5 linked regions of the Macaca mulatta genome follow. The protein of the gene in region 1 purifies or fractionates together with the protein of each later gene. This does not show direct contact. Links are inferred from orthologs where the notes say so. Each region holds a gene or a part of one and is shown in the gene's direction. Other genes may lie near its edges. The genes, in order: SOS1, FRS2, PTPN11, EPS8 and CRKL.

Region 1 (3,618 bases):
TTATAGCCATTATAGTCTTTTTTAGTTTATCATACTACATTGATATAATTATCTCAAAAATGTCCTTCTGATTTTAAATGGGGACTATTTAGAATCTTAAACTAAATTATTCATTTTTTAATAGCTAAATGAGAAAATGAGCTAAATTTATAGATCTCCCACTAAAAATCATATTTCTGAAAATTACAGTATTAGAATCTATTTTGTTTATTTCCTAGGACCCTTTTGTGGTAGGTTTTTTTCCTCTCCTCCTTTAGACCAAAAAAAAAAAGATGTAGGAATTGCATTGATTACTGTACCCTCTTTGAACTGATTTATAACAGATATCATTACTTAAATGTCTACTTTGTCACCCTAATTTATTAATAATGTTTATAAATGCTGGAAAAGATATTATGGAGGAGTTTCAACCTTGCCCAAAGCAAAATGCTACTATAAAGCAACACTAAAAGTACACAGGTATTTCCATAAAAATAGTTTTTAAAAACAGTTTTTAAAGGCCGGGCGTTGTGGCTCACTCTTGTAATCCCAGCACTTTGGGAGGCCAAGGCAGGTGGATCACCCAAGGTCAGGAGTTCGAGACCAGCCTGGCCAACATGGTGAAACCTTTTGTCTACTAAAAATACAAAAAATTAGCCAGGCTTAGTGACGGGCACCTGTAATCCCAGCTACCCGAGAGGCTCAGGCAGGAGAGTCACTTGAACCCGGGAGGTGGAGGTTGCAGTGAGCCAAGATTGTGCCATTGCACTCCGTCCTGGACAACAAGAGTGGAACTCCATCTCAAAAAAAAAAAAAAAAAAAAAAAAGTTTTAAAAAATCCATAAGGAAATATGCATAATTATACTTTTTTGTTATACCTTGTTTTCACAAACCTTTCTGTTGGTGTAAGAGGAAAGTTCATATGAGAGTTTAGTTTTTAATCTATCTCCTTTACTTAATAAAACAGTGTCTATATTAGAGGAAAAACTGTCATGTAGAATTATGTATTGATGATTTTAGAGCTGTACAGCCATCAGAATTAGTTGGAAGTGTGTGGACAAAAGAAGACAAAGAAATTAACTCTCCTAATCTTCTGAAAATGATTCGACATACCACCAACCTTACTCTGTGGTTTGAGAAGTAAGTATTCCTAGCATTCTTACATTTTATAGCTGTCAGCTATATTATGAATTTCAATGCAATTTTGTTTTTGTTTTTGTTTTTGAGAGGGAGTTTTGCTCTGTCACATAGGCTGGAGTGCACAACATCGGCCCACTGAAACCTCCACCTCCCAGGCTCAAGCGATCCTCCCACCTCAGCCTCCAGAGTAGCCAGGATTACAGTGTGTGTGATATTACACTCACCTAATTTTTCTTTTTTTTTTGAGACAGAGTCTGGCTCTGTTGCCCAGGCTAGAGTGCAGTGCGTGATCTTAGCTCACTGAAACCTCTGCTTTCTGGGTTCAAGCAATTCTCAGGCCTCAGCCTCCTAAGTAGCTGGAACTACAGACGTGTACCACCACACCCAGCTAATTTTTGTATTTTTAGTAGAGACGGGGTTTCACCATGTTGGCCAGGCTGGTCTTGAACTCCTGACCTCAAGTGATCCACCCATCTTGGCCTCCCAAAGTGCTGGGATTACAGGCATGAGCCATTGTTCCTGACCAATGCAATTTTATTTCTATATGTCTCATGTCTTTTTCCTCTGTTCCTCCTTTATTTAGTAATTGTTTTTCATTGAATGAAAATGACAATATTTTTCATTAGAAAACGTTGAATGTTTTTCTAATGTAGCATTTTAGTTTCACTAATTATTTTCATTAACTTTTTTTGAGGTTCTTTTAATGGTTGCCTGGTTGCCTTAGAGTTTACCACACACATCTTGTCAGAATCAGCTTCAGACTTACAGTAGCTTCATACCAGTGATATATAGAAATATTACTCCTATGTAGCTCTATTCCCTTTCTCCCTTTTTTGTGGTACTGTTATACATATTACATCTTATTAATAATGCAAATCAAACAATACATTGCTACAGTTATTACTTTACCATTTGTCATCATACTCTTAGACCATTAAAGCTTTGCTCTCACCCACCTCCTTTGTGTATTATTGGCAACATATTACACATATATTACATTTCTATGTTATAAACTCAACAATGTGTTTATATTATTTTAAGTCAGTTATGAGAAGAAATGAGAAAAAAAATACGCATTTACAAAATGTCTTTAATAATTACCCAATTACCTTTACTGGTGATCTTTGTGTGGATTCGAATTACCATCTGGGATCACTTGCTTTTCAGCCTGAAGAATTTCCTTTAGTATTTCTTCTGGAGGGTCGGCTAGCAACAGATTCTCTCAGTTTTTGTTTATCTGGGAAAATCTTTATTTTACCTTCATTTTTGAACAATACCTCTATCTTCAAGTTAATACTTTTTTTCAGTTCAAATACACTATTGAGCTTTTCCAGTAAGTTTTTTATTTCAGTTATTGTACTTTTTAATTCCAGAATTTCCATTTGGTTCCTTTTTATAGTTTCTATCTCTTTAATGATATCCTCTCTTTGATGCGCATTGTCATCAACACCTTCCTTTCCTTCTTTTTCATGCTTTCCTTTAATTCTGTAACCATATTCATAATGGCTACTTAGAAATCTTTTTTGTTATTGTTGTTAAATCTGACATTTGGTTGCTCTCACAGGTAGTTTCTGTTCCTTCCCCCCTCCCCCACCCGCACCCCGCTGTAAGAGTCATATTTTCTATTTCTTTGCATACCTCATCTGTTTTTGTTGGAACCCTGACATTTCAGATAATATATTGTAGCAACTCTGAGTGCTGCTCCTCATTCCCCAACCCCCTTTCCAGGGATTCTTACTGCGTGGCAGTGGTACTGGAAAGACCCATCCACTCCTTCCCTGACCACACACACCCAGCTATGAAACTCCACAATTTGCCAGCTGATTGCTCTGATGTTTTCAACGATTTCCTGGTGGCATAAATGCTATACAAAATAATGCAATCAGATTGTGGCTCCTTTGAAGGAATGGTTTTCTGAGATTTCTGTTTCATACTTGTTCTGACCCCAGGAGGGCTTCTCTCAGTTGTCTTATTTCCTAGTTCTCCCCTGCAAACTACTCTGCCTACAGTCTAGGGTGTATCTTCATTAGATCCACAAATCTCTTCCCCATTGCCTTTCACCACAATTTCCTCTGTTCTTAAGGGCACCATTAAATTTAAACTACTTTATACTTTGTTGCAAATGACAAGATTAGGAGCTATCTGTTTGAAACAGGGCTCTAAGGCTCGGGATAATGGCAAGCTTTTCTCTGAGTGACACTTCTGCCCTAGGAGCTTGGTTGAGCAGGTAGAGTGGCAGACGATGGTACTGTAGCCTGAGGTCTCCTTACCTGCCTCTTCTGGCATGGAACCACGCCTTCAGGAACCAGAGGAAGGGCTCTTTTCTCAGTATTCTCAAAATATCATACCCAAGGTAGAGTCTCCATTCCATAAGTGGAAGTTGGGCAAGGAAGGGTCTTCCCACGTTTCAGCTGCACTCAACTGGGACTTGGCCTCAGCAACAGGCAGCAGGGACAGGATGAGAAAACTAAAGTCCTGCTCCTGTACCTCACTGGGAGC
Region 2 (3,618 bases), on another chromosome or scaffold:
TTGTTAAGAAAAGATATAGTATACTATGTATTCATTTATCAAGTGTTTATTAAGCACATTGTCTATGTGAGAAGTTTTGGCTCGTGTTACCTTTAAGATTTTTCAGTAAATGATTGGGCCTGCTAAATTGACTAAATGTCTTTATCATTGATTTTTTTACTACCTATTACTTGAATGGCCTTGACAAGTTACAGGACTTCTGTTGAATGTTAAATTTCTTCTCTATAACAGGGAAATGGTAATACCTATCTTATAATTATTGTAATAATTAAACAAGATAGCAATTGGAAAACACCTAGGGACTTTCCAAGGGGCCTGTTACATGGCAGATGATCACCTTGGAGTAGTGAGTTGGGCTCCCCCTGCTGTTTAGAAACAGACGAGCCTTAAGTGTGCAGGTCTTGATTTCATCAGCTTTGTTTTGGGCCATCTCCCTTAGATGAATGAAAATTATTCTGTGAACTTTTGGCGGGGGCTTGTTTTGAAACAGGGAATAATCATTAATTTATCAGATATTTATTTTAAAGGGATTTCTTACTCTTGGCGCATAGAATGCTTACTTTACAATTCTGCTCTTTGTCAAGTGTTCCCATAGTTTTTCCAAAGGTATGTTAACTATTTTTCCCTTTTGGTTTATATTTGTAGGAATCTTTGCCTTTAAGTGTGCCCGTGCAGAAGAATTATTTAACATGTTGCAAGAGATTATGCAAAATAATAGTATAAATGTGGTGGAAGAGCCAGTTGTAGAAAGGAATAATCATCAGACAGAATTGGAAGTCCCTAGAACACCTCGAACACCTACAAGTAGGTACCCATTTTCCCTCTCACATTTTGAATAACAGACATTTAGTTGTAAGATACAGATTATGGATATTTAGTCAATAACACACTATAAATCACCGTTGGATAACAGAAGTATAATAGTTGTCAGTTTTTAAAAACAGCTGTAGGCCGGGCACGGTTGTTCATGCCTGTAATCCCAGCACTTTGGGAGGCTGAGGTGGGCAGATCATGAGGTCAGGAGATCGAGAGCATCCTGGCTAACACGGTGAAACCCCGTCTTTACTAAAAAAATACAAAAAAATTAGCCGGGCGTGGTGACGGATGCCTGTAGTCCCAGCTACTCGGGAGGCTGAGGCAGGAGAATGGCATGAACCCGGGAGGTGGAGCCTGCAGTGAGCAGAGATCGCGCCACTACACTCCAGCCTGGGCGACAGAGCAAGACTCCATCTCAAAAAAAAAAAAAAAAGCTGTAGTTCTATGTACTTCAAATATTTTAAAAATGAAAACATTTAGTATTTCATATTATCTAAAATATGGAGTGGGAGTAATACTATTTGTGCTCTGATTTCTGCTGTCTTGGCAGAAAGACCTCTTATAATCCTCTCAGTACAGATTCGATTCTTAATCATTTTTATTCTCTCTGCCCCCACCCCCCTTTTCCTTAAACCAATTAAAAAAAAACTCAGCTCCAGGATTTGCTGCTCAGAACTTACCTAATGGATATCCCCGATATCCCTCATTTGGAGATGCTTCATCCCATCCTTCAAGCAGACATCCTTCTGTGGGAAGTGCTCGCCTGCCTTCAGTAGGGGAAGAATCTACACATCCTTTGCTTGTGGCTGAGGAACAAGTAAGCATATGCTCCGGTGTAACAGCAATAATGATTGTTCAGAGTCAGGGTACCACTGTGCTAAAACTAGACGATTTTATTCAGCTTGAAGTTTATCTGTTTGTAAATTACTTTTGTAGTGAACAATCAGAGGAAATAGCATATATTTGCTGGCTTATGCTCAAATATATGCAGGCATTCAGGGGAACTTAGCATTACAGTAGCTTGTGGGTTCACAGAAGAGGTACATCTATAGATTAAGAAAGGCATAACTAATGGTCAGTTCCCATTATAAGAACGTCCAATGGATTAAGAGTTTATGCTGCTTTTCATATTTTAGCCGTTGCAGTCAGTGAACTACTAGTAGGAAGGTAGATTTTGCTGTTAATGTTACGGAGTTATTTAGTGTTCCCGACTATTCTAGTTTTCATGTGTGGAATGAAGTATCTGGTTGGAACCTCTGTATTAATTAGTTATACTTATGTTTTGTAAACCATATGTCATATTAAAAAGTTTTTAGTGTTTTTAAAATCAGTTTCTTTGTGTTCTGTACATAATGAGTTCTTATTTACTGTAATTACGTGAGTCTTTCTGTGTCGCGCAAGCTGGAGTACAGTGGCGTGATCTCAGCTCACTGCAACCTCCACCTCCCGGGTTCAAGCAGTTCTTCTGCCTCAGCCTCCCAGGTAGCTGGGATTACAGGCGCAGGCCACCACACCGGCTAATTGTTTCGTATTTTTAGTAGAGACAGGGTTTCACTGTGTTGGCCAGGCTAGTTTTGAACTCTTGACCTCAAGTGATCCACCTGCTCCAGCCTCCCAAAGTGTTGAGATTACAGGCGTGAGCCACTGCGCCCGGCCCTTCTAAATATTTTTATATTATCTCCCCAAAATACCATTAAGCTTTTCTAAATAGTGATAATTTCTTACTAGGTGGCATTTATTTTATATCTATGCATTTTACAGAACTCTTATTAAATCTAGTAGAGTTTATCTTATATAGTCAGATCATCAGTAAATAAGGATAAATTTATCTCTTTTCAAAGTTGTTATTTATTTCTGGATCATATTTTAATGCTTTGAGAACCTCTACAACAGCAGCAAAATGATAATCCCTATTTTGTTCCTGATTTTTATTTTTTGCATAATTATCATGTTTAACAATCAAATATAATGTTGCATGTTACTTTATCTTTTGAGATGGAGCCTCACTCTGTTGCCCAGACTGATATGTAGTGGTGCAATCTCGGCTCACTGCAACCTCTGCCTCCCGGGTTCAAGTGATTTGCGTGCCTCGGCCTCCAGAGTAGCTGGGATTACAGGCGCTCACCACCATGCCCAGCTAATTTTTGTATTTTTAGTAGGGACGGGGTTTCACCACGTTGGCCAGGCTGGTCTCGAACTCCTAACCTCAAGTGATCCACCCGCTTCAGTGTCCCAGAGTGCTGGGATTACAGGCGTGGGCCATTGCACCCAGCCTGCATGTTATTTTAAAGTCATTACTCTTTTATCAAATTAGGAAGACATTTCTACATTTATTCTCTCTTTCCACCTTTTTATTAATAAAAAAATAGTTGCAAAAGTTTTGAAGTAAGAGTACATTTGGAGAGAAAGTTAATAAAATTAACTGATGTGGTCAGGCTTTTTTTCAGTTTTGTTTTTTTAAGTAAATTAATTCACTTTCTGTTTTGTTTTAGGTACATACCTATGTCAACACTACAGGTGTGCAAGAAGAGCGGAAAAACCGCACAAGTGTGCATGTTCCATTGGAGGCGAGGGTTTCTAACGCTGAAAGCAACACACCAAAAGAAGAACCAAGTAGTATTGAGGACAGGGATCCTCAGATTCTTCTTGAACCTGAAGGAGTCAAATTTGTTTTAGGGCCAACGCCTGTTCAAAAGCAATTAATGGAAAAAGAGAAATTGGAGCAACTTGGAAGAGATCAAGTTAGTGGAAGTGGAGCAAATAACACAGAATGGGACACTGGCTATGACAGTGATGAACGAA
Region 3 (3,618 bases), on another chromosome or scaffold:
ACTTCCGCCTCCTGGGTTCAGGCCATTCTTCTGCCTCAGTCTCCCAAGTAGCTGAGATTACAGGTGTCTGACACCACGCCTGGCTAATTTTTGTATTTTGATAGAGACAAGGTTTTGTCATGTTGGCCAGACTGGTCTCGAATGCTTGACCTCAAGTGACCCACCTGCCTTGTCCTCCCAAAGTGCTGGGATTGTAAGTGTGAGCCACCACACCTGGCCCATTCTGTTCTCTTCTACCATAAATATATTTCTTCCCCAACACTATATTTGTTTGCCTCACAAGCTTCCAGCTGCTTTCTACCAACGCCTTTGAAGGAAGCTGTGCTGTGACCTTTGTAATGAGTCTGTGGGCTGCTGATTCTCCAGTCTGGGCTTCATGATTATACTGGGGAACATTGGGTCTCCTAAATCTCATTCATTTCTTGGGCAGGTAGATATATGTGAAACTTTTTTATTTGTCCAGTTGTTAAAGAAGCTACCATTTATTGAGCCAGCCTCTGAGCACAATGTTTTTTGTTTTTAATTTTTAAAATTATTTATTTCTTCTATTTCAGTAACTTTATTATTATTATTTTTTGAGACAGAGTCTCACTCTGTCACCCAGGCTGGAGTGCAGTGGTGCGATCTCAGCTCACTGCAACCTCTGCTTTCTAGGTTCAAGCAATTCTCATGTCTCAGCCTCCTGAGTAGCTGGGATTACAGGTGCATGACAACATGCCTGGCTAATTTTTGTGTTTTTAGTAGAGACGAGGTATTGCTATGTTGACCAGGCTGGTCTGGAACTCCTGGTCTTAAGTGATCATCTTGCTTCGGCCTCCCAAAGTGCTGGGATTATAGGCGAGAACCACTGTGCCTGGCCCTCTTTCAGTAATTTTGATGTATTTTTTTGTATACGATTCCTGTTTCATTCTGTCCAACCAGCACTCTGTATGGTATGTGCTGTTGTCCCCATTTCACAGATGCGGAAACTGAGGGTCAGAGAGGTTAAGGGACTTAACTCAGGCACGTTGTACTGGAGAAGCTGAACTCCAAGAGCAGGTTTGGGCTGACTTCAAAGCCCTGTGCTTTTTGCCAACATATTTTCAAACATAAAGAGACAATTTTATAAATAGCTCCCAAGAGTAGACATTGTTTCTGTTAATACTAATGGCTTGGTTTTGAGTCTGAAACCCCCATGAATGATTCTGTTGTCCCTGCTTTTTGTCCTTCTGCCCGCAGTGCTGGAATTGGCCGGACAGGGACATTCATTGTGATTGATATTCTTATTGACATCATCAGAGAGAAAGGTGGGTCATCTGGCGGGCAAGAAGTGACAGTTTCTGTTTTTAGTTTATGGAAGGAAAGTGCTCGTGAAAACAGCCTAGGGAAGAGAGGTTGAATGGGAAAAATTTTTCACAAAAATCTGGGCTGAAGACTTCAGTGTGTCTGCTTGAGAACAGAAGTGACACTATTTGAGCTTTTGGCATAAAATGAAGTCTAGGAGCTGCTGAACCCACTGCCGTGGCCTTTTGTTGCATACACAGTGGTGGTCTCTATCCAGCCACCTGAACCTTGTTTACAGTATGGGGTGATTTGTTGGAAAGTGAGGGAATCCTGACCTCTGCCACTTTATTATTTATGTAGTCTTCTGGGATCTTTGGTATTGGTCAGAAGTTCAACACTGTAGCCATTGCAACATGCTCAATTAAAACAACAAAGACTAAATCAGCATTGTCTGTGAGTCCACTAAAAGTTGTGTGTAAACAACTTCATCCTGGTTCTGCAGTTTCTCTTTATTCTTCTTGATGTTTCCTTCGTAGGTGTTGACTGCGACATTGACGTTCCCAAAACCATCCAGATGGTGCGGTCTCAGAGGTCAGGGATGGTCCAGACAGAAGCACAGTACCGATTTATCTATATGGCGGTCCAGCATTATATTGAAACACTACAGCGCAGGATTGAAGAAGAGCAGGTACCAGCCTGAGGGCTGGCATGCAGATTCGCATTCTCTTTCTAGGCCTCTTGGATACGCTCTCCTTTTGAGCAGGAGGAGAGGCTCTGATAGACAACTGTTTGATTTGGGAATGGGAAACAAACTCCCAACTAAAAGGGCTTCTGGAAACTGTTAATTATTCTCTACTTCTCAGCTCTGATTTTTCACTGCAGAGGAGCTTAGGGAAGGGCACCATCCTATCAGCCTGGCCTGCCAGATTGAAGAACTGCCATGCAGAAAGGTCTGATGTTCCCAGGCTCACGTGGCAAGCATAAAACTCAAAGCCTTGAAGTTTCTAGCCTGTTCCAGCCTTGATCCAGGCCATGTTTATCCTGATTCCATCCTTTAAAACGAATGCCTCACTCTTAATAGCGCACAGCAGTTTGAACCACTAATTTGGTCGAGTTGGAAACAGTGAAATTTCAATTTTAATAAGCTGTGCATAATGAAGAGGAATGTGGAATTGGAGCCTTTCCATCTGAAGCTATTCATAACAGGCACAAAGCTGAGTTAATTAGGAATATGCTGAGATGAAGGAAATGAGGAGAACTGCTCTTTTGGGGGCTGTGCTTCTCTCCCCCACCCCTCAACCCCATTGCCATGCTGCAGATGGGGTAGTGTCTAAACATCAGTGACGATTGCCTGCATTACTCTGCTCATTGCCTTCCAGAGAACTCAGCTTCTCCAAATGCTGAGCTCTTTTCAGAATGGGACCTGCCACCAATATTTGAAAGATTTCTAGACTAGCAGAATAGCAGCCACTTTATCAAAGTTTGGTGGGCCAAAGTAAGGTAACTGCTAATTAGTTTAGTAGGTTTTCAGTCCACACAGACATACGGAATTGTTTTATTATACATAGACATCTTCAGAAACTGTATGTATAGAAATTAAGGTCAAAATTTGAACTTCAGTGCTTTATTTTTTAAAAATTTTTATTTATTATTGTTATTATTTTTTGAGACGGAGTCTTGCTCTGTTGCCCAGGCTGGAGTGCAGTGGCACGATCTCGGCTCACTGCAAACTCTGCCTCCCAGGTTCACACCATTCTCCTGCCTCAGCCTCCCGAGTAGCTGGGACTACAGGCACCCACCACCGCACCCGGCTAATTTTTTGTATTTATAGTAGAGATGGGGTTTTACCGTATTAGCCAGGATGGTCTTGATCTCCTGACCTCGTGATCCACCCGCCTCGGCCTCCCAAAGTGCTGGGATTACAGGCGTGAGCTACTGCACCTGGCCAACTTCAGTGCTTTAAATCTGAATTTGTATTAAGTGATATGAAATATTTAGATGGTTACTATAAGTTATTTTATATATGTCTTCCATTATACTTAATTTGGCCCAAGAATAGTTAGGCAAAAAGTTGCCCAAAGAGAAGGATTTCCTAGTAAATACAAAGCAAATGTAGCATAGTTACTACAATTTGGAGCATGTTCAGGAATGTCTTTTTTTTTTTTTTAAATGAGAGAGGTCTCTCTCTGTTGACCAGGCTGGAGTGCAGTGGTGCAATCATGGCTCACTGCAGCCTCAGTCTCCCAGGGTTAAGCGATCCTCCCACCTCAGCCTCCCAAGTAGCTGGTACTACAGGCATGTGCCACCACACCCAGCTAATTTTTGCATTTTTTGTAGTGTCACGGTTTCGCCATG
Region 4 (4,101 bases), on another chromosome or scaffold:
GGTTTTAATGTCCACCTTGGCATGTTATCTCGTTTCTCCCTGACTGTGCTTTTATTTGCTTCACAAAGCAAGCAGGTCCAATCTCTTTTAACCAAGTTTAATTTATAGGCTTTCGTTGACTTCTGGAAGTCAACTGACTTCGAAATTAGGACAGCATGGGGGGATTGCGGGAGTAGCTATGACAATGAGGAGTTTTAAGAGTGAGAAAACACAATGTCTATGAGAAGATGGACTTCTCCTTTAGAGGCTCCATAAGCTACTCAGAGAGGAGGTTACGAGGGTTGGTTAAGGCACGAGAAGCACAAAGTGAAAGAAGCCTCCACTACTTCAAACCACATCAGGGCTTTTGGCAAGAGCTACAAGAAAAATAGACTCCCAGGCAGCCGGACGAGGCGGGTCTGGGCTTGCAGGCTGGCGCTAAGGACCGGCAGTTGGGAGAGTCCCAGGGACCCGATGGAGGGCCTTGGGCACCACCAGTTTTACCGCATGGGTTAGAGAGACAACAAAAAAAGAGGAAAGCGACAAAAAGGGGAAAATAGGTCCGAGGGCCAGAGGAGGAAGACGAAGGCTGGCTGGTCATTAGGGGCGGCTTGTTTGCCGCCATAGGGCAGGGGTTACGAGATGCAGCCAGACCCCGGGTGTTGCAACCCGAGCGCTTTCTCCGCCCGGGGCGTCCATCCTTGCCGGGGGCGAAGCTCTCCACACGCTCTTTGCTCCTTCCCGCGCCTCCTGCCTGCTAGTCGGTCCTGCTAGGGCACTTCTGGAAAACCCGCTGTCGGCTCGCTGCCTTGGTCCGACTTTGATCGCGGCCTTGATAACTTGGCGCAGCGCCCCGTCTCCTTTCCTCCGGTCCCTCTCCCGCCCACCCGGCCTCACCGGCCGCTTCGCCTCCAGCGCTGGAGTCGACCAGAACTCCGCGGCTCGGCTGCCAGCAAGACCCGGAGAGCGGATCCCGCTCCTGGCTGCGCGGCGCGCACTCGCCTGCCCGCCCGCTCCCCGGTTCCTCGCGCGGGCACTGGGCATGCGCGGCGCGCGGTTGGCACTGGCCGTGAGCGGGCGGGCGGCTCCAGACTTCACAGGCAGCAGCTAGCGAGGCGGTCTCGCCCGGCGCGAGGCCGGCGCTGTGCTCGCCTCGGAGATCGCTGCTCTTCAGCTGGGCGCAGGGGGCGGCTCCGCGGCTCGCGGACGACTGGCTGGGCGCGAATCAGATTGGGGGGCTTTCTCCCGGTCCCCTCCCACCTCGTCTGGGCTCGCGGCGTCTCCGGGGAAAGCCGTGGCCCCGAGGGCGGATCCGAGGTAAGAGCCCCTTGGCGAAAGGCGCCGGTCCGGGGGTCCGGCGGCTTTGACTCTCTCGATTTTAAAAATCCGCCTTTGTGTGCTGGATCGGAGCGGTGCCAGGAGCCGCGTCCGCCTCCCTTCACTTTGCTTTCAACTGGTGTTGGCAGCCAGGTGCGCGAGGGCGCTGCGGCCGGAGACGTTCGCTCGCCGGGTCCGGGCAAGCCGCGGGGCCCGTGCAGACCCGCGCCCAGGGCTCCGGGAGGCTGGGCAGGGAAGGTTCGCCGTGGCTCAGTGATATTCATGGTAACCTGAGCTTCCGCAGATACACCTGCGCTCATCTGGTCCGTGGGGCGACTGCAGACCGAGTATCCCGATCTCGGCTTATTATCTTAGACTTGGGATTTGTTGAACTGCTCTCCCCACCCGCCTCAAATGGGGAGGGGTTCTTTTCAAAATGACCCTTTGGGACAGGGTCCCACCCCCGTTCACCCCCTCAAATTAAGATAGCTCATTGTTTCGGAATCGTTGTCAATGCCTAATTGCTGTTGACTTTCTTAGCTTACTCCACTTTACTCACCATTTTACTTTTGGGAAGACAGACGGCTTTTCTCCGGTTGTGGTCAGTTCATGCATTTGAAATGGGTTTCCCCACCCATGTACCCCCTGCTCTCTCCGATGTTCTCACTCTTACTTTCTTTCCTAGGACTACCTGTTTGCAAAATCTTTGCACCGATCGTTCTCCTGCGGTGTTTCTTAAATCCTCTTCCTCCCATAGGGCCCGTAGTACTGTTGGAATCTCGCGGGGGGCAGGACGCCGTGGTATTAGGATTTGAAATCCGTAGACATCTAGAGCGGTGAAGCATTAGGATTTAGAACCCTCCTTTACAAAATATGTTTCAGTGAAAAGTGTTACTGCTTCTGTTTTCAAGGTTTCTTGCCTTAGATAGTAAAGAGGAATTGGTAAAAAGAGCTAATATGTTAGGATGAGTTCAGATAAAACTTGGTTTCAGATGTGTATGTGAAGAGTGTGATTTTTTGGCTTTGTCGTTTTTGAGAAATAGGAGAGTTAGGATTCCGGGCAGGCTTCTTTATATTGAAAATAATGATAATAATTAAAAAACCCCTCAAAGTAACTGTGTTGTGTATTTCCTCTAGTTTATTTTCATTGAAAGGACTCTATTCTTCCACAGCTCCTTGGGTTCTGGAAAGTGAGCAATAGTAATGGACATCATGTGCTAGTGAGTCTATTGGAATTAAAGTCAATGTCATCCTGTCTCACCTAGTATAGAATTTTTTGTTTGGGATCGCAGTTTTCTAAACATATTGCTGTAGTTCTTAAGTTACTGGTGTGGAAAATTTTTGGTCACGAATTCACACTTTTACTTACAATTTGAAAGTTAAAACAGTATAGAATTGTCACATAAAGGGTAAGGTAGAATGTATCACAAATACAATAGTGTTAATAGAATGCGTTTAGTGCAGAATACACAGATTGAGACTTCGTAAGATTGCACCACAAGTCATTCACTTTATAGCAGGAAAAAAGAAGGAAAATATAATTTGCTTTTAATTCTACTATTCTGAGATAACTGCTGTTTACAAGACTTGGTGCATTCTCTTTGTAATTTTTTTCACTTCCCAATGTCATTGAATATTATATATAGTAATTTCTAGCAAGTGTAATTTAACTGACACTATTAATAGCCCCACTCTTAATGGGGTGATGTTTCTTTTAATGGGGTGATGTTTCTTTTGTTTCCTGTCAGGAACCTAGTGTCTAATTTTGAATATTTTGCTTGTTTGTGATCAAACATAAAGATTCATTTTGTTTTTATTTCTAGCTTTTTCCTGCTTTCAAGGTTTTATCAATACTGATTCTTTTCAGATACCAGTTCTTTTCTATGCTATGGCATTGGCTTGCTACTGTCTACTTTGTGTTTATTACATTCCCAATCCTAGTTGTTTTGTTACCCTCTATTTCACACCCTTTCCCCTACTGCTTTTTATTCTTCTCTCTACTCCCTTCTTTTACATACCTCTTTTAATTCTGTAGCAGGTCACTTGAACCAAGGTTTGTATAAGAAAACATAGTATCCAGAATAGGAAATGATAGCTTTTTAGAAGTTGTCTCTTTAGATACTTGAAATTCTATTGGATGAATATTTAAGCACTGATTTATGTAATATTTATATACAACTCAGCTTTCCCGAGTTGTATGAAACATACTTGGTAGTTACATGGGTCATCACAAAACAACGTAAGTTAATGATAGGGTACAAACTTTTGGACATCTGTAGAGGTATGTCAGGGGGAAAAAGTGAAATTTTAATTAAAGTACTCTGGCTATAGTAAATCCCTCCTGGGAATTATTAATACTACATGAAATTGTTTGCAGCTGTTAGTGATTGAAAATATTTTTGTAAGAAAAATTCTGCATTGGTATAGTTGCAAACATTTTAAGTTGAATATATGCAAGAAAGTGTAAGGTCTTCAGTGCTTCACTACAACCTTTTCTGTATTTTCTAGATGCATTCCTAAATGGGATTTTAAAAAAATAGACCTTATTTCTCAGAAGTTTTGGATTTACAGGAAAGCTACAAATACAGTGTCAATATACCCCCATACCAGCTTCCCCCCTTATTAACATCTTATATTAGTATTTGTTACTGTTAATGAACCAGTATCGGTACATTAGCATTAACAAAGTTTATACTTTATTTAGATTTCCTTAGTTTTTAATGTCCTTTTTCTGTTCCAGGACCCTACCATCCGGAACACCACTAAATGTATTTCCTTGTAATGTCTCCCTAGGCTCCTCTTGGC
Region 5 (3,618 bases), on another chromosome or scaffold:
TTGAGACTCGCTGTGTCTCCCAGGCTGGAGTGCAGTGGCGTGATCTCGGCTCACTGCAAGCTCCGCCTCCCGGGTTCACGCCATTCTCCCGCCTCAGCCTCCCAAGTAGCTGAGACTACAGGCGCCCGCCACCACGCCCGGCTAGTTTTTTGTATTTTTAGTAGAGACGGGGTTTCACCATGTTAGCCAGGATAGTCTCGATCTCCTGACCTCGTGATCCACCCTCCTCGGCCTCCCAAAGTGCTGGGATTACAGGCTTGAGCCACCGCGCCCGGCCTTATTTATGTTTTGAGACATAGTCTTGTTCTGTTGTCCAGGCTGGAGTGTAATGATGCAGTCATAGCTCCCTGCAGCTTCTAACTCCTGGGCTCAAGTAATGCTTCTGCCTCAGCCTCTTGAGTATCTGGGACCCCAGGTGTGTGCCACCATGCCCAGCTAATTTTTTGTCTTTTTAGTAGAGACAGGGTTTTGATATGTTGGACAGGCAGGTCCCCAAGTGATCTGCCTGCCTTGGCCTCCGCAGGTCTCCAAGTGATCTGCCTGCCTTGGCCTCCCAAAGTGCTGGGATTACAGTTCTGAGCCACCACTCCTGGTAGATTTATTGTTTTTAACTTGGCAAGTCTGTAAGCCCTTTTTTGTTCCTTTTTTTTCAAGGGGCCAGAGGTAGAGGCCTTTGTCATTTTCTGTGTGTCCAGGGAAGTGTGCAGGATGTATAAGCCATAGATTAGGAGTGGGAGGAAGAGTGTGTGGTGGTTGTGACAAGGGTCCAAAGGAAGGCAGCTTCCGAACTTACTTGAGATTATAAAAATAAATTTAAACCAGGTATCTCTGTGTAATCAAAAGGTTTCTGTAAAACAGAGATGAAGTGTATGTGTGTGTATATACTTGTAATTTGAAAAGACATTCAGAATAGTAACTTCTGGGACAGTACAGACTACAAAAATTACAGCATGATAGAACCTTCTTAACTACTAAGAATATAGAAAGGAAAATAAGGCCTGGCATGGTGGCTCACACCTGTAATCCCAGCACTTTGGGAGGCTGAGGCAGGTGGATCACTTGAGGCCAGGAGTTTGAGACCAGCCTGGCCAATATGCCAAAATCCTGTCTCTACTAAAAACACAAAATTTATCTGGGTATGGTGTTGCACATCTGTAATCTCAGCTAGTCGGAAGGCTGAGGCAGAAGAATCACTTGAACACCGGAGGCAGGGGTTGCAGTGAACTGAGATTGCGCCACTGCACTCCACCTGGGTGACAGAGCAAGATTCTGTCTCAAAAAAAAAAAAGTCTGGGCTCGGTGGCTCACACCTATAATCCCAGCACTTTGGGAGGCCGAGGCAGGTGGATCACGAGGTCAGGAGATCGAGGCCATCCTGGCTAACAAGGTGAAATTCCGTCTCTACTAAAAAATAGAAAAAATTAGCGGGGCATGGTGGCATGTGCCTGTAGTCCCAGCTACTCAGGAGGCTGAGGCAGGAGAATTGCTTGAACTTGGGAGGCAGAGGTTGCGGTGAGCTGAGATCCCGCCACTGCACTCCAGCCTGGGCAACAGAGCAAGACTCCGTCTCCAAAAAAAAAAAAAAAGTAGGGGCCAGGTGTGGTGGCTTATGCCTGTAATCCCCAGCACTTTGGGAGGCTGAGGTGCATGGATCACCCAATGTCAGGAGTTCAAGACCAACTTGGCCAACATGGTGAAAACCCTTCTCTACTAAAAATACAAAAAAACATTACCCGGGCATGGTGGTGGGTGCCTGTAACCCCAGCTACTCGGGAGGCTGAGGCAGAAGAATCACTTGAACCAGGGAGGCAGAGATTGCAGTGAGCTGAGATCACGCTATTGCACTCCAGCATGGGCAACAAGAGCGAAACTTGTCTCAAAAAAAAAAAGAAAAGGAAAATAATTTATTGTAGAGGAAAGTGGTTTATTAAGAAGTTTGACAGGCACTGGCTTAGAGTAAGATTTTTCTCTTATAGTAATTTTCTTTCTCTCTTAAGGTATCCAAGCCCACCAATGGGCTCTGTCTCAGCACCCAACCTGCCTACAGCAGAAGATAATCTGGAATATGTACGGACTCTGTATGATTTTCCTGGAAATGATGCCGAAGACCTGCCGTTTAAAAAGGGTGAGATCCTAGTGATAATAGAGAAGCCTGAAGAACAGTGGTGGAGTGCCCGGAACAAGGATGGCCGGGTTGGGATGATTCCTGTCCCTTATGTCGAAAAGCTTGTGAGATCCTCACCACACGGAAAGCATGGAAATAGGAATTCCAACAGTTATGGGATCCCAGAACCTGCTCATGCGTACGCTCAACCTCAGACCACAACTCCTCTACCTGCAGTTTCCGGTTCTCCTGGGGCAGCAATCACCCCTTTGCCATCCACACAGAATGGACCTGTCTTTGCGAAAGCAATCCAGAAAAGAGTACCCTGTGCTTATGACAAGACTGCCTTGGCATTAGAGGTAAAATCTGTTCAGACTAGCTTTTTGGGTCCTTTGACATTTGGTTTTAATTTTTAGTTTTAGTTTCTGCTCATTTAAGCTTATATTCATGGAATTAGAGCACTTAGATGATTTTGGGAGATACGCACTGTTAGCATTTCATGTTTAAATTTTTTTACAGAGACAAGGTCTCTGTTAAAAAGAGTTGTTTGCCCAGGCTGATCTCGACATCCTGGCCTCAAGCAAATCCTCCTACCTCAACCTCCCATAGTACTGGGGTGACAGATATGAGCCACCGTGCCCGGCCTGTTATTAGTGTTTCACAGGTTGTTTTCTTCTTTCCTATTCCTTGTTTGTCCCACATTCTCAGCCTCCTTGCTCTTTTTTGTTCCCAAAGCCTAACAGATTTAGTTTTGCAGTCATTGGTTTTTCTTCCAGTAAGGAAAGATAATAATTAAGGAAGACCCATGACCTAGAGGCAAAATCAGCATACAGATGCATAGCTACTTGTATGGTTCTGTATTTCTAACATTGGAATCAGTTGAGAAATATGAAAATGTCTTAGAATTTCTCTTGAACTTGGTAGAGGAATTAATTTTTTTTTTGACAGAGTCTTGCTCTGTCACCCAGGCTGGAGTGCAGTGGCGCGATCTCTGCTCACTGCAAGCTCTGCCTCCCGGGTTCACGCCATCTCCTACCTCAGTCTCCCGAGTAGCTGGAACTACAGGCACCTGTCACCATGCCCAGCTAATTTTTTGTATTTTTAGTAGAGACGGAGTTTCACCGTATTAGCCAGGATGGTCTCGATCTCCTGACCTCGTGATCCACCTGTCTCGGCCTCCCAAAGTGCTGAGATTACAGGTGTGAGCCACCGTGCCCGGCCCAGGAATGATTTTTTTTGAGATGGAGTCTCGCTTTGTCACCCAGGCTCCAGCACAGTGGCATGATCTTGGCTCATTGCAACCTCCACCTCCCGGGTTGAAATGATTATCCTGTCTCAGCCTCCCAAGTAGCTGGGATTACAGATGCCTGCCAGCCTGCCCATCGAATTTTTGTATTTTTAGTAGAGATGGGGTTTCAACATGTTGGCCAGGCTGGTCTTGAACTCCTGACCTCAGGCGATCTGCCTGCCTCGGCCTCCCAAAGTGCTGGGATTACAGACATGTATGACCACGC

The links.
Region 2: the proteins of SOS1 (region 1) and FRS2 purify together in Homo sapiens (affinity purification with western blotting; 5 studies listed by BioGRID). This does not show direct contact. The link is inferred for Macaca mulatta from reciprocal best matches to the Homo sapiens genes SOS1 and FRS2.
Region 3: the proteins of SOS1 (region 1) and PTPN11 purify together in Homo sapiens (affinity purification with western blotting; 4 studies listed by BioGRID and IntAct, with this or other methods). This does not show direct contact. The link is inferred for Macaca mulatta from reciprocal best matches to the Homo sapiens genes SOS1 and PTPN11.
Region 4: the proteins of SOS1 (region 1) and EPS8 purify together in Homo sapiens (affinity purification with western blotting; 5 studies listed by BioGRID and IntAct, with this or other methods). This does not show direct contact. The link is inferred for Macaca mulatta from reciprocal best matches to the Homo sapiens genes SOS1 and EPS8.
Region 5: the proteins of SOS1 (region 1) and CRKL purify together in Homo sapiens (affinity purification with mass spectrometry; 3 studies listed by BioGRID and IntAct, with this or other methods). This does not show direct contact. The link is inferred for Macaca mulatta from reciprocal best matches to the Homo sapiens genes SOS1 and CRKL.

What each region holds. Positions count from the first base shown.
Region 1 is NC_133418.1:85,934,529-85,938,146, forward strand, and holds part of SOS1 (son of sevenless homolog 1), read left to right. Parts: intron 1-999; coding exon 1,000-1,119; intron 1,120-3,618.
Region 2 is NC_133416.1:76,699,411-76,703,028, forward strand, and holds part of FRS2 (fibroblast growth factor receptor substrate 2), read left to right. Parts: intron 1-645; coding exon 646-804; intron 805-1,469; coding exon 1,470-1,633; intron 1,634-3,308; coding exon 3,309-3,618. UniProt on the Homo sapiens protein: Adapter protein that links activated FGR and NGF receptors to downstream signaling pathways.
Region 3 is NC_133416.1:119,735,009-119,738,626, forward strand, and holds part of PTPN11 (tyrosine-protein phosphatase non-receptor type 11), read left to right. Parts: intron 1-1,218; coding exon 1,219-1,286; intron 1,287-1,765; exon of another isoform or gene 1,766-1,799; coding exon 1,800-1,951; exon of another isoform or gene 1,952-2,882; intron 2,883-3,618. UniProt on the Homo sapiens protein: Acts downstream of various receptor and cytoplasmic protein tyrosine kinases to participate in the signal transduction from the cell surface to the nucleus. Positively regulates MAPK signal transduction pathway. Dephosphorylates GAB1, ARHGAP35 and EGFR.
Region 4 is NC_133416.1:18,246,064-18,250,164, reverse strand, and holds the start of EPS8 (epidermal growth factor receptor kinase substrate 8), read left to right. Parts: upstream 1-1,195; 5' UTR 1,196-1,296; exon of another isoform or gene 1,297-1,449; intron 1,450-1,847; exon of another isoform or gene 1,848-1,897; intron 1,898-4,101. UniProt on the Homo sapiens protein: Signaling adapter that controls various cellular protrusions by regulating actin cytoskeleton dynamics and architecture. Depending on its association with other signal transducers, can regulate different processes.
Region 5 is NC_133415.1:31,780,186-31,783,803, forward strand, and holds part of CRKL (crk-like protein), read left to right. Parts: intron 1-1,997; coding exon 1,998-2,463; exon of another isoform or gene 2,464-3,053; intron 3,054-3,618. UniProt on the Homo sapiens protein: May mediate the transduction of intracellular signals.